Tamandua tetradactyla: one gene and its partner. The protein of the gene in region 2 interacts with the protein of the main gene of each other region in a pairwise test. Links are inferred from orthologs where the notes say so. Each region holds a gene or a part of one and is shown on either strand. Other genes may lie near its edges.

Region 1 (8,102 bases), on a different chromosome or scaffold from region 2:
GTTGTCTGCTAACTTCTTTTTTAAATAAACTCTTCATCTTAGAACTATTGTAGATGTGCAGAAAAGTTACTAAGACAAAGTAGGGAGTTCCTATATATCTTACAACCAGCTTCCATTAGCCTGGGCATAACCATATTATGCAACCACGTAACCATACACAACAAGTGTACATAACCATGGTACACATGTCAAAACAGTACGTGATAGATAGATAGATGATAGATAGATAGATAGATATGGATATTAAGAAATTTATTATATCAATTGGCTCATGCAATCATAGGGATAGGTAAGCTCAACTTGCAGGCTGCAGGTTGGAAACTCAATGAAAGGGATATTGAATTCCTCAGGAGAAAACTATCTATCTAGATTAGAAATAAAAATTCTTCTTTCTGACTGCTAAAATCCTCACTTCTCCTTTTAAGATCTCCAGTTGATTGGATGAGACTTCTCTCTTTGCTGAAGGCCCATCTACTTTGTTGATTGTAGATGTCATCAGACGTAGAGGCAAGCAACTGGGCTAGTGATTTAAATCCACAAAATACCCTCGCAGTAACAGCAGGCCAGTGCTTGACCAAACAACTGGACTCTATAACCCAGCCAAGTTGATACATGAAATTAACTATCAAAATCCGTTTTTTCATGAATGTCCTTTTCCTGTCTCAGGATCCAGATCAGAGTACCACATTGCATTTAGTTCTCTTCCTTCTAAATGCATAGAACAACTCTTATTTTCTTGGTTGAATGCTGACTGGTAGTACCATCATACTTTAAATATTGTGTGTAGTTTCTGATGCAGGAAGGACTTGGGGACATACTGTATGCTGACTACCTTAAGGCAGAGGGCAGACTCAACATTTATTTGTTTCAACACAAACGAAGGTCAGAGGGACCACTGGGACAGCTACTCTGGGTTTTCCCTTAAGAGAGTTGTGATGATTAATTCTATGTGTCATACTTGCTAGGTTATTATATCCAGATGTTGGGTCAAAACACAGCCTAGATGTTGCTTTAAGGAATTTTGCAGCTATGATCAACATCTGCAATCAGTTGACTCTAAGTAAAGGAGTTGACCCTTGTTGATGTGAATGGGCCTTATCTACTCAGTTGGAATTCTACCTGAAGATGAAACCCTCTACTCCTCTCAGAGTTTCCAGCCTGCTGGCCTCCCCCATGGATTCCAGACTCAAGGCTGCAACACCAAATCTTACTGGAATTTCTTGCCTGTCAGCCTGGCCTACAGATTTAGGACTTGCTAACCCTCACAACTGTGTAAGCCAATTCCTTAAGAATAAATCATACATATGTGTAATTTCTTGTAGGTTGTGTTTCTCTGGAGAACTCTCATGGATACAGATGTGATTGTGGAGATGTCCCTTCTCCAGTGTTCTCAGAAGGTGCATTCTTTAAAGACCTTCATCTCCAAGCAGGAGGACATTCACACCCAAGGCATCTTAGTGCCATATCAGGAAAACACTTCACCTAGGGTAGGCATGGGGCACCTTTCTCGAACAAAAATTTTACTTGAAGTGTGGCACAAGAATGGAATAATCATTTTCTTAGTAGACTCTGACACATAAATAATATTTCAAATTAAATAAAAACTGAATGTCAACCATAAAGACAAAATCTGCATAAATAAAATGACATAAATTGAGACATGAGATTTTATTAAAAGATGAGGCTTGTGCTGGTTTGAAAAGATGTATGTACCTTAGAAAAACCATGTTTTAATCTTAATCTCAATTTGTAAAGGCAGTCGTTTCTTCTAATCCCTATTCAGTACTACATGTTTGAAACCTTAATTAGATTATCTCCCTGGAGATGTGACTCAGTCAAGAGTGGTTGTTAAATAGGATTAGGTGGAGATGTGTCTCCACCCATTCTAGGTGGGTCTTGATTACTTTACTGGAATCCTATAAAAGAGGAAAAATTTTGGAGAAGGCTTAAGAACCTGAGAGAGCAGAGAGTGCCACAGCACCATGAAGCAGAAAGTCCACCAGTCAGCGACTTTTGGAGGTGAAGCAGGAAAATGCCTCCTGGGGAGCTGGAGAGGAAGCTAACAGATGACACCATGCTTGCCATGTGCCCTTCCAGCCGAGAGAAAAACTTGACTGTGTTCACCATGTGCCTTTCCAGAGAGAGAGAAACCCTGAACTTCATTGACTTTCTTGAACGAAGGTATCTTTTCCTGGATGCCATAGATTGGACATTTCTATAGACTTCCTTTACTTGGGACATTTTCTCAGCCTTAGAACTGTAAACTAGCAACTTATTAAATTCCCCTTTTAAAAAGCCATTCCGTTTCTGGTATATTGCATTCTGGCAGCTAACAAACTAGAACAAGCCTGCATTAGAATATTCCAAAATTCAAGTAGTATTCCAGCATGGCCACTGCAGGCTGACCAAGCCCTCCTGAGACTGTGAGGCAACATCCACCCACATCTGAGATTTCATGGACAGACGGGAGAACTTGACCTAAATCCTGGTCCTAACCCCCATGTCTTTCCTTCATTATACAGATTATCTAATTAGATCCCAAAGACTCCAGTTTTTTAATATGCCCAGTTTGGTTCAGCCAGAGAAGAGTGTCGGGGTGGGGGAGGGGGGCGGTATCCAGAAAGCCATACGAACCCAGAGTATTCCAGGGTCTCCTCTTTCCAGAAGACTCAAGTGCAAAGCCCTCTCTGAGTCATCCGCTTTAGCCCACCTTTATGAGCACCACCATTTCGGTCTGGGAAAACCCTTTGTGTTCAGCCAATAAAGTAACCTAAGGGTGCTGGGAAGAAGGGATCAACTCACTATTTATGCCAAGATCTTCTGGCCCAGATGAAACCATGGAAGAAAATACTCATGATGGGTGATTCATCTCCGTATGAATCCAACTAAGCCTGGACCATGGATGAGCTCAGCTTCCTGTGGGCTCTGACCTCCAGCCCTCTGCTATGATCTTCAGGCCAAGATTTTCCAACATGACCCTCTTCTCCCTTCCATGGCAAGACTTACCAAGAATAGCGGGTGATGAATGTGGGAGGCACAAAACTGCATCTGCTGCATAGGAAGGAGGAGCCCAGTAAAACTGAAAAATGCACAGGATGTGGCGGCCAGCAACCAGCACCACAGTTCAAATGGTTCACAAGCTGGCAACCACATAGGAAAATGAGCAGTTTCTTCCTACTTCTCATCTTCTTCGGGTTGGTGCTGAAGAAGGAACATAGCATCCTAGAATTTTTTTACATGAGACCCAAAGTTATAATATTTGGCATGAATCATGGTTCTGTCCCAATCTCCATATCCAAAGTGGTCACAGTTTGGTTTTACCAAATGCTAAACTCATCGAGGCTTTTTAAAAATTTACCTTGATCCGTCTCTTAACTACAAGGTCTACTTACTATAATGTACACTATTCTTTTACCAACTAAATATGTTAGCATGTTATTCTTGTAAAAACGCTTGGAGCATATATTCAAATGATTATTACAACTAGAATTTTGACTCAGTACCACTCATAAAATGATAAGCATTCCTTCATGAAGGTCCTCCAGTTATCAATAATATCTTGGAATTCCACTCAACTAGCAAAGCATGACACATGTAAAAGGTGTTTCTTTTTGGTTTTTAAAAAGGGAAGTTTAATAAGTTGCTAGTTTACAGTTCTAAGGCTGAGAAAATGTCCTAATGAAACATGTTTATAGATATGTCCAATCTAAGGCATCCAGGGAAAGATGTTTTGGTTCAAGAAGGCCAATGAAGTTCAGAGTTTCTCTCTCAAGTGAGAAGGCTCATGGCGAGAACAGTCAGTTTCTCTTTAGGCTGGAAGGGCACATGGCGAACCAGGCATCATCTGCTGGCTTTCTCATCCTGCTGGCTTCCTGTTTCGTGAAGCTCACCGGGAAGAGTTTTCTTTCTTCATCCCCAAAGGTTGCTGGCTTGTGGGCTCTCTACTCCTCACAGCTATGTCGTTCTGCTCTCTCTGAATCTCTCATTCTCCAAAATGTTTCCTCTTTTATAGGACTCCAGTAAACCAATCAAGACCCATCCAAATGGGTGGAGATGCATCTCCCCTAATCCAGTTTAACAAACACTCTTGATTGGGTTACATCTCCAGGGGGATGATCTAATTACATGCAATATTGAATAGGGATTATTCTGCCTCTACAAAATGGGATTTTTTTTTTCAAAAGGTGTTTCTTGAGGGGGCTATCTAAATACTCATGATTAATGTTCCAAATTAATATTCTTCCCCTCCCCATCACTCTCTCTCTCTCTCTCTCTCTTTTCTCCCTCTTTCTTGTTCTTGTTTTGCTTAAAGAATAGATAGCCCTATAACCCTAAGCCCTTGGATTACTACAAATTTCAATTTCCTTAATATTAGACTTAGTGAAACGCTGGAGCCAGCCCACACCAGCTCCTGCACACTAGTGATGACACCTCTTCCCAAATCCACGTTCAGCGACGCCACGTTGGTAACTTGAAATTGGTCATGGCATGAACATTTATACCATGGAAACTGGCAAACACTACAATTCAGGTATTTTCCTTCAGAGAGATGATTATTAAACATTTGCCAGCATACCACTGGCTACATTAAATCATACTCCCAGAGGCCATTTAAGAGGAAATTAAACAGCACATGTAAAAAGAGAAACCATATCTATTTCTGTGGTTGACCCCATCTTGACCCTGCCCTTCCTCCCCTGAAGTAACAAAACTCCTAAATCTTTTCAAATTTCCCTTGCATTTTTGTAAATATAGTTTCATAAAAAAAAATCTATCTGTGTGTGTATATATGTAAATTGCCATTTTTTAACTTTATGGTTGCAATTTTTAAATTTTTGTTGTGTGTGGTAGTTAAATTCAGGTGTCAACTTGGCCAGGTGAAGGCACCTAGTTTTGTTGCTGTGGACATGAGCCAATGGTACATGAACCTCATCTGTCGCTGATCACATCTGCAGTGGGCTAGGAGGCGTGTCTGCTGCAATGAATGATGTTTGAGTTAATTGGCTGGTGCTTAAATGAGAGAGCTCAAGGTAGCACAGCCCAGGCAGCTCAGCATACCTCATCTCAGCAACTCGCAGCTCAGCCCAGGCCTTTGGAGGTACAGAAAGAAATCACCCCGGGGAGAGTTGTTGGAACCCAAAGGCCTGGAGAGAAGGCCAGCAGAGACCACCTGTGCCTTCCTGCATAAGCAAGAAACACAGTTGAAAGTGAGCTGCCTTTCCTCTGAAGAACTAATGAAATAAATTTCTTTTTATTAAAAGCCAATCCATCTCTGATGTGTTGCATTCCAGCAGCTAGCAAATTAGAACACTGTATAATATAATATAGATACAAAGCAAAGAAAGAAAAAAGCAGTAGTTTTTAAAGCACTCTTCGACAAGTAGTTACAGGACAGATCCTATTGTCTCTCATGGGTTACCATAACATCTTCTCAGATTTTTCCTTCTAGCTGCTCCAGAACATTGGAGGCTAGAAGGAATAAATATTTTTTTATCATCACAATCGATGTTTTTTTTCTTTTTCTCTATGAAAAATAACGTACATATACAAAAAGCAATAAAATTCAAAGCAAATCACCACATTCATTGTAGAACAGACTTCAGAATTTGGTATGGGTGACAATTCCACAATTGTAGGTTTTTACTTCTAGCTGCTCTAAGATACTGGAGACTAAAAGAGACATCAATATAATGATTCAACAATCATACTCATTTGTTAAACCCTGCCTTCCCTGTATAACTCCACCATCACCTTTGAACTGGTGACAATAATTTTTTAATCTCATCAAATCTACAGTGAGAATGCATCAACATTTTACTAATTCATTAATGATGAGGAAATCATTTTAAAAATCCTACATTTATCCAAATAGCGACCTTTTCCAGTTCATTCCTCCATGCATTTCTTTGTTTCCATTGGGACTTTTTTTTTTTTGCCTGAGCATTTTATTTTTTGGTACCCATCTGTTGGTAATGCATACAATCAGTTTTTCATTGTCTGAAAATGTCTTTGTTTCACCTTCAATCTTGAAGAGCATTTTCTCTTGTTCTACAGTCTAGATTGGCAATTTTCTTCCAGTATTCCATTGTTATCAGAATCCATCATTTCTGTTGCGAATAAGCCATCAACGTTATTGTTGCCCCTTTCAAAATAATGTGTTCTTTTTATTTCAATACTTTTAAGATTTCCTCTTGGTCTTCGGGTTTTAGCAGTTTTACGATGGTGAATCTCAGCAGGTATATGTGCGTGCTTACTTTTATTGAAGGAAATACACAAAAAGTGCACATACGACGTGCAACACTTGATAGATTTTCACAAATTAAGCCCATCCACATTACCACCAACCTGATTAATAAAGAGAATTAGCTCCTTAGAAGCCTCTTCATTCTGCTTTCCAGGAACTTCTCTCTAAGGGAAATGGCTCTTCATAGAGATCTGGAAATGCTCTTATCTCCTGTGCCTGCCTGGCTTGTTTTGCTCAACCAGATATTTGTCAGATTTGTCCATAATAGTGCATGTAGCTGTAAATGATCAATTTTCATCAATCTGTTCATATTCAGTTGTTTGAATAACCACAGTTCATTTATCCATTCCAGTGTTCATAATCATTTTCTAGTTTAGAGTTTAGGCTATATGGATAGCACCCCTTGAGCATTTTAGTACACATCTGTGCATTTATGCTGGTATTGGCCTAGGGCTGGAATTGCCATGTCTCAGGGTACATATTCTGTCCAACTTTAGTAGGCGCTGCCAAACGCTTTTCAAAGCAGTCCTACCAACTCACACTCCCACCCAGTGCATTTGAATGCTGACCTTGCCCCGCACTCACCAGCTCTTTTTATTTTAGCCACACTTTCCTGTATAGTGATATCTCACTGCAGTTTTAGTTTGCAAGTCTCAGATAACTAATACAGTTAAGAACATTTTCATATGGCTTTTTAAAGTTTTTTATTGTGAAATACAATATGTATACAAAAAAGCCATAAATTTCCAAGTACATTTTAATAAGCAGCTATGGAGCAGTTTGGTATGTGTTCTAGTTTGCTAGCTGCTGGAATGCAATATACCAGGAATGGAATGGCTTTTAAAAGGGGGAATTTAATAAGTTGCTATTTATAGTTCTAAGGCGGAGAAACTGTCCCAATTAAAACAAGTCTATAGAAATGTCTGATCTAAGACATCCACAGAAAGATACCTTGGTTCAAGAAGGCCAATGAAGTTCAGGGTTTCTCTCTCAAGTGGAAGGGCACATGGTGAATACAGTCAGGGTTGCTCTCCCAGCTGGAAGGGCACATGTGAACATGGCGTCATCTCCTCCCTTCCTCTCCAGCTCCCCGGGAGGCATTTTCCTTTTTCTTCTCCAAAAGTCACTGGCTGATGGACTCTCTGCTTCGTGGTTCTGTGGCATTCTCTGCTTTCTCAGATTCTCAAGCTTTCTCCAAAATGTTTCCTCTTTTATAGGATTCCCATAAACTAATCAAGACCCACCCAAATGGGTGGAGACATGTCTCCACCTAATCCAGCTCAACAACCACTCTTGATTGAGTCACATCTCCAGGGAGAGGATCTAATTAAGGTTTCAAATATATAGTAACTGAATAGGCATTAGAAGAAACGGCTGGTCTTACAAAATAGCATTAGAATTAAAACATGGCTTTTCTAAGGTATATACACCCTTTCAAACCAGCACAATATACGATACAGTTCCATGAATTTTAATTTTTTCTTCTAGCTACTCCAAGACACTGGAGACTAGCAGAAATGCCAATATAATGACTCAACAGTCATACTCATTTGTTAAATCCCATCTTCTCTGTTATACTCCTCCTTCTCTTTAAATAACATATTCTTACGGTTTTGATCACTTGAATATCCTTTTTATTTTTTGTGAAGTGTCTATTCAAGTCTTTTTCTCATTTCTTCACTTAAAAAAATTGGATTAAATTTTTAAAATTTAAAAAATGCTTGTGCATGAGGAAGAACAAAGGAATGTCATTACTGCAGGGTACTGAAAATAGATGGTAATTAATATTTAAAAATTTCAATTTATGTGTTAGACTAAAGCAAAAAATATTTATTTGGTACAAAATTTAAATTTTGAC
Region 2 (7,140 bases):
CAGCTGCCCCCTACCGGGACTTGCCAGCCTCCCTCTCTGCCCCGATGTCAGCAGCTCACCAGCTGCAGGCCATGCACGCGCAGTCTGCGGAGCTGCAGCGCCTGGCACTGGAGCAGCAGCAGTGGCTGCATGCCCATCACCCGCTGCACAGTGTGCCGCTACCTGCCCAGGAGGACTACTACAGGTATAGGGCACCTGAACCAGGAGGGAGGGCAAGTGGGCTCAGCCAGCCTGGAGATGGGTGTAGGCATGCTGGGGTAGGGAACTTGGGCAAGGAGGGGTCAGGTCAGGGTCAACTGGAGTCTCTACTCACTGCTTTTACCCCCATCCCCAGTCACCTGAAGAAGGAAAGTGACAAGCCACTGTAGAATCTGTGACCAAGAGAGTACCACGGCCCTTGCATCTGGACCTTGGAGGCCCCCCCTCAGCCTGCCACCCAGAGCCCAGGAGAGAGTGCTGCTCAGTTGCAGGACCTCCGTGGTTGGGCAGAGGGAGGGAATGTGTGGGGAGGTGGCCAGGGTGGGGGCAGAAAGCGCACAGTATCTTGGACCAGGACCCTCTTCTTTATCCCCTGCTTTCCTTCTCCCCCATACCCAAACCCCCGGGCCACGGCCCCTCCCCATCCCGTTGGTGTGATTATTTCATCTGTTAGACGTGGCTGTTTTGAGTAGCATCGTGTGCCGCCCCGCCCAATCCCCGTGTGCGCGCGCCCCCTGCGATGTATCCCCCTCGTCCCTCCCCATATTAATAATTTATATATATAAATATCTATATGACGCTCTTTAAAACACATCCCAACCAAAACCAAGCAAACAAAAATATCCTCACGACTCTCGAGGAAGATGGCTGCGACTGGTTCTTTGCGGGCTTTGGGGGCTGGTGGTGCGGTATACTGCTGCGGTGCCTGGAGAGGCTGGCAGCAAGTGGGAACAGACGAACCTTTTGAGGGAACTGGGTGTGGGGACCCCGAATTGGAGAGGGGATCTTGGAAGACTAATGGGTTCGTTGGGGGGGTGCCACTCCCCACTCAGTGCTCGCTCCCTCTTCCCCCAAGCTTGGGGAAGACACTTATTAGAGGCCTGGAATGGGCCAACCTCTGACGTGGCTTGGCTAGAAAACTACTCTGGTCCCACAGCTGCAACCCCCCAAAATCCTCTGGAACAAAGATTTCAGAATCCTGCATCCTTTCCATGGAATAGTTGGAGAAATGATTATAGGGATGAGGTGAGCTTAATCTCAAATAGGTCAAGAACCCCGAAGCTTTAATTACCCTTGGATTTGAAGAAGGAGAGGCTGGCAATTTGAAAAGCCTTGAAGGTAAGTAAACGCGTCACGCTGCAGCACCTATTCCTGCACAAAGCCTTTTTAGGGAAATGCAAAAACTGCGCTTACTCCAGGCTTTTATTGAGCCAAATCGATGTCTTCATTCTTAAAAATATTCAGGGTTGGGGTGTGACTGGCTGTTCTCTCAGCCAATCAGTGTCGGTTCATTTGCATAGGCTCGGGAAAACCGTTCACAAACTCTAGAAATGAACGATTTAAATAAGTTCCTCAGAATACTGCTTTTTTTTCATGGGAGTGCCAATATGTCTCGCGGATTATATATTAATGAGAACTAGGAATAAATAAACAATTCTGCTCCGAATTCACCCTCATCAACAGTGGAGTCCGAAGGTATTCCTATTCTCTCCAGGACACACGTTATCGGTGTTGCAGCTCTTTTAGAATTTGTCTAGTAGGTTTTCTGGCTTTAGCCGGAAAACCCTCGTTTTTGTTCGAAATAATAGAGCTAGGTTTACAGAAATTCGGTTGTTTGGTTGTGGGTTCCGTAGTGTTTGTGTGGTGGTCTTACATATCCCGCCGTGGAGTGTTAAAGGTTATGCGAGAGTAACTTCCGGTTGCAGTAGGTTGAGTTTTTCTCAAACCACCTCTGGCCACGGAACAGCTTTCGGAGTCGGCTCCTACTTCCCGCTCCTTCCCTCGCTACGTTATATCCGTAGCAATTCGTCCGTATGGCGGCTGCTTCGGCCCAAACCGCACCCCTGAGCGCCGAACAGGCGAAGGGTGAGGAAGCATTCCCAGTTACTCGTGTAGACCATCTGCTGTTGGGAGGATGAGGGTGCAGGATCGGGAGACAATAGTGGCTGTCATCGTCGGGGGTAGGAGGGAAGGATGGGAGGAGAGAGGATGGAGCTGTCGCGGGGTGCTGTCTCCTGCTCCTGAGTGGGGTCCTGCCCCCTGAAGGTAGGGATTAGGGGCCGAGTTTATCGGGTGGGCTGCCGATGGCCTCGGCCCACTAATTCCTGGCGCATTTTCCTGCTCTCTTGTCCGGACCCACCCACGGTGGTCCACCGCCTCCTTCGGGCTCTTCCCTGGATGGCCCTGGCGCACAGTGGTTCTAGCCGAGGTGATCCAGGCGTTCTCGGCCCCGGAGAACGCTGTACGTATGGACGAAGCTAGGGACAACGCGTGCAACGACATGGGCAAGATGCTGCAATTTGTGCTGCCCGTGGCTACGCAGATCCAGCAAGAGGTCATCAAGGCTTATGGTTTTAGCTGCGACGGGGAAGGTGGGTAGACGGGGTATGGGGGTGGGTCGGGGAGAGGGGTGGTGGGGCGCTCGTGCCCCTTTGCCGTCGTGCCCCTTTTCGCCACAGGGCGGCGGCCACAACCCAGCAGTGTTGACGCCAAGGATCTAACCTCAAATTGTGCCAACCCAAGTCTGAAGTCCATTTTGTGGTTACCTGTTAAACATTATATTATCCCATTGTAAGATTAAGAAACAGACTCTATCTGTAAAGTAAATGCCCAGAGTCGCAGCAGAACTGGACTTCTAGCAGTTTAGTGTGACAACCACAAGATGTTTGGCGCCCCCGTCACAGTGTTTCAGCTAATATCTTTTTGGGGATTTGTGTGATTCAATCCCAGCTGTCCTGTGATCTCCTGTGTTGGTAACAGACCTGGGATCTTGTGGACGTTCATACTAGGGCTCTTGTGACTTAACTGTTAAAATGGTTCACCTGAGAGCGAGGAGCACTTTACTTTGGGATTGTTTCATTCACTGTATTCCCAACTGGTTGTGCCCAGTGTAGACCAGGAAGTGGTTGATCCAAACCACACAGGATAGAGGCCAGCTGGTGTCCTGTTTTTCAGACAGCTCCCTGGTAGTGGGGGAGCAACCTATGAGGCATGTTCAAACTGCCCCCTCCTGCCGTCTTGGTCCAGCCCTCCCAGGCGTGAGCTAACTCTCCACTCCCTCTTGCAGGTGTCCTTAAGTTTGCTCGCTTGGTCAAGTCCTATGAAGCCCAGGATCCTGAAATTGCCAGCCTGTCAGGCAAGCTGAAGGCTCTGTTCCTGCCGCCCATGACACTGCCGCCCCACGGGCCTGCTTCTGGTGGCAGCATCGCTGCCTCCTGAGGGGGTTGGTCCTTTCCTGTTGCCCAGTGCTGCTGTCTGGGAAGGGAAGGCCTTGGTGTTTCCAGAGGATAATAAACGTGCCTGTGTCTTGGCCTCTGCGTCAGTCTTTTGTGATCCTGACAATCTCCACCTCCTGTCCCCTGATTCCCTTTCCGTTCCAGGCTGCCCCACATCTTCTCATCCAGATCCTTCCTCTGTGCTCTGCTGGCCTCCCACCTGGAGCAGGTGAGGGTCTCAGGCTCCTCAATCCTCCCCATCGCCCACAGGGTGAGAGTATGGGCTGGTACCCTTGACACCAGGACAGGTGGGCCTGCACTGTGGTGGCACTTCCTTCTCTGAGGAATTAGACTTCCAGGGCTTTTACATCGCCTCATTGCTTTCTGTGGATTGTGAGTTTCCGCCATTGGTTGACGTTCCCTTTGCCAGGGCTACTTCCTGGTTTCCCGGCACCTGCCTTCCTGCTGTCCTGTCAGGTGGAGCGCCAGATGACTCCTCCCTCCCAAGGGAAGGAGGCCCTGGATAGGCAGGCAGGCCTGTGGGACAGTAGAGTGGAGCTGGAGGGGAAGCGGGCTGTTGTGGGCGGTCTGAGGCCAGCCCCGCCCCACCTGTCCCTTCTCCGGGGATCATTAGTCCAGGGGCTTATCCTAGCAGTGCCATTGGCCTGGCGGGTGGGATTAAGGAGGAAGTGGCTGAGTTCTGAGCGACTTCCTCTCCTGGCTGGGCCACTGTGCTTAGCTTGCCCCTGGTTTGGCCCCACCCCCTGCGGCCCACTGCCTGTGACTCCTCCATCCCTCCAGGGACATGCTGTCCTGTGGGTAAGTCCCCTGTCTACGTAAGTCCCCAGGCTTCCGTAAGTTTGGGAGGGAGGGGCAGGTATGTGACCATGAGTGGGACCTTCTGTGGGTTTGCTTCCTGTGCCAGTGTGTCCCCCTCCCCAGGATGTGAGGACTCCTAAGCGCATTCATGCCCCCTGCCCCCTTTTCTCCTGCCTCACAGATGTCTGTCTATTCTCACCATTGCCCATGAGAGCTGGCGCCCTGGGTAACCACATTGTCTCAAACATAAGCCTGAAAGGCAAACCTGAAAAAGCGTTCCTGCTCCCACTCAACTTCCCCTTCACATCCCAACCTCTGGCCTTGGTTCCATTCCCTTTCAGTTGCCCTGAACTTTCCCATTTCTCACATCATTCATTCAATAGGAGACTACTGAGCATCTGTTAGGTGCCAGGGCCTGCTTAGGTGCTGGCAATGCAATAGTGACAAAGACCCGGACGGCTCCTGCTCTCATGTCCTTCTAATAGGAGGCACCATGTAGCAATCAACCCAACAAAATAATTTTAGATCCTTACAGGGATTATGTAGAAAAAAGAAACTGCTCTAGTGCTTGCAAGTGACTGGGGTTGCCAGGGGCATTACTAGCTGCAGGGATCAGGGAGGATTTCTCTTAAGGAGGTGTCCTTTGAGCTGAGACCTGGATGATGAAGAAGAGGCAGCCAGCCATGTGGTGATTGGAGGTCAAGCTCCCGCCATGGGCCGAGGGAATGGCAGGTACTGATGTGGAAACAAACAACAAAAGGACAGAATGCCTCAAGCCCAGTAAATTGGAGGAAAGGCAGGCAGGGCCAGGGCAGGCTGTGCCTTTTCTAAGTGAAGTCCTGCTTAGAGAGTGTTGGTAAGTTTGGGCATTGCTGAGCACCCCCAGTCCTGTGGGTCCATGCTTCTCACACTCACATCTGCCCCTTCCTTTCTGTTGGCACTGCCTCCCCTGCTGCACACCCTCCTTGCTGTCAACCCCCACAGACAGGATTCTTATGGGGTCTCTGGTCCCTGATCCCTTTCACACTCAGGCACCTTGGCATGGCCTCCCCCTTGCAGAACCTTTCCTTGGCTCCCTGGCCTGGCCTGGGAAGGCTATCTGCAGCTGGGTCCCAGTCTCTCGGGCCAACTTTGCTCAAGCCACACTGCTCAGCTCATGTCCAGCACTGCCCCTCAAGTGTCTTCTGTGCCTGCTGCCTCTGGGCCTTTGCAGATGCTGCCCCTTGTGGAATGCCTGCCCCCTTCCTTTTCTACCATGGACTGTTCCAGTGACCACCCCACCTGTTCCATGAAGCCTTCTCCAGGAGTATGGTTGGTGTGGTGGAAAAGGCAGTGGGTCCTGGCATCAGTCGAGGTTTGTCCATCTTCCCTCTTACTAGCTTGTGACTTGGGCATGTTACATAACCCCTCTGCACCTGAGTTTTTATTTCCAAAGTTGAGCTATCAATACCCACTAAAAGGTAGACATGAGGATTAATAATGTCATGTAAAATCTGTTGGCCCTGAAAGCTATCACCTATCAGCTTTTTATATCAGTGTTTGGGAAATATCATTAAGCCTATTTATAGGTGGGGATACTGAGACTCAGAGGAGTTAAACTACTTTCTAGAAGTTGTTTCACCTCGTCTGCCCTTTGCCCTTTCAGACTGCTTGTCTTTAGGTCTCACCATTGATCTTGGTCTCCGCTTTTATCTCCTTGTTTCCCAAAGGAGTAATTTTCTGTTCTGAATTATCAGGCTCTTAATATGTAACTCCCAGCTGCTCTAAGCCAGTTTCCTCCCCTTCAAAAACGTAGAAGATATTCCTACATCACAGGTCCATCCATGGCCAAAATAGGATTATGCACGTGCAAATGCTCTGCTAACTCAAGAGCATGGAACAACTATCAAACTTTATCTTTCTTCCTAAAAAAAATTTTATTGTGGTGACATGTATTCAACATAAAATTTCCCATTTTAACCACTCTCGAGTATACCATCAGTGGTAATTACGTTAGCAGTGTTGTGCTACCATCGCCACCGTCCATTACCAAAATGTTTCCATTGCCCCAGACAGAAACCCTCTACCCAGTAAGCAGTGACTCCTCGGTCCCCACCCTTGCCCCAGGAACCTGGAGTCTACTTTCTGTCTCTATGAATTTGCATATTCTAGTTATTTCACATAAGTGAAATCATATGATATCTACCCTTTTGTGTCTGGCTAATTTTGCTCAAAATGATGTCTTCAGGGTTCAGCCATGTGGTCGTGTGTATCAGGACGTCATTCCTTTTTATGGCTGAACAGTGTTCCCTTGTATGGATAGAACACATTCTGCTGATCTTTTCATCTGTAGACGGACACTTGGGTTTTGGGTTGCTTCTACCTTTCAGCAACTGTGAATAATGCTGCTATCAACATTGGTGTAAGAACATCTGTTTCAGGCCTTACTCAGTGGTTGGGGGTTATTATTTTAAAATTTCCCTGCCAAGGGGCAGCAGAGACTGACTGTCCATCTCTTTGTGTCTCTACCTTCTGACTGTGCACATTTCAGATAAATTCCTGCATCTTTGATGAGTCAGGAGTTTCTGGACGCTTAGTTAGATCTTTCCCGACAAGTAGGTTTAAGCTGAGGAGAGAGAGTGGGTGGAGCCAGGGTGCAGGAGGTATTTGGTGCTGAGCACGGAGCTGAGGTCTCACATGTGGTCAGGACCCGGTGCTCATGTGTGGGCGTTTACACTGGACCAGATATGTGCTGGACTTGTAGATTTTACTATTTGTCCTTAACTTTTTTATTGTCGTATAACACATAATAATGTGCCTAATGTGATACGAAACATTCCTAGAACCTCAGAAGTTTCCCAGAAATTGCTGTCTCCAAGTCAAGTTATTTATTTTCCGGGAGGTAATACATGTCCGTGATACAACATTC

Evidence for each region.
Region 1: the proteins of PTPN6 (region 2) and leukocyte-associated immunoglobulin-like receptor 1 interact in binary tests that used the Homo sapiens proteins (3 or more experiments, as listed by UniProt). The link is inferred for Tamandua tetradactyla from reciprocal best matches to the Homo sapiens genes PTPN6 and LAIR1.

The regions. Positions count from the first base shown.
Region 1 is NC_135342.1:5,118,251-5,126,352, reverse strand, and holds the start of leukocyte-associated immunoglobulin-like receptor 1, read right to left. Parts: upstream 3,055-8,102; 5' UTR 3,049-3,054; coding exon of another isoform or gene 3,007-3,048; intron 2,997-3,006; exon of another isoform or gene 2,803-2,996; intron 1-2,802. UniProt on the Homo sapiens protein: Functions as an inhibitory receptor that plays a constitutive negative regulatory role on cytolytic function of natural killer (NK) cells, B-cells and T-cells.
Region 2 is NC_135333.1:69,241,320-69,248,459, forward strand, and holds the start of PTPN6 (tyrosine-protein phosphatase non-receptor type 6), read left to right. Parts: upstream 1-3,993; 5' UTR 3,994-4,218; coding exon 4,219-4,232; intron 4,233-7,140. Other genes in the region: ATN1 (atrophin-1), read left to right, coding at 4-184, 335-368; C7H12orf57 (protein C10), read left to right, coding at 2,013-2,064, 2,394-2,570, 3,266-3,417. UniProt on the Homo sapiens protein: Tyrosine phosphatase enzyme that plays important roles in controlling immune signaling pathways and fundamental physiological processes such as hematopoiesis.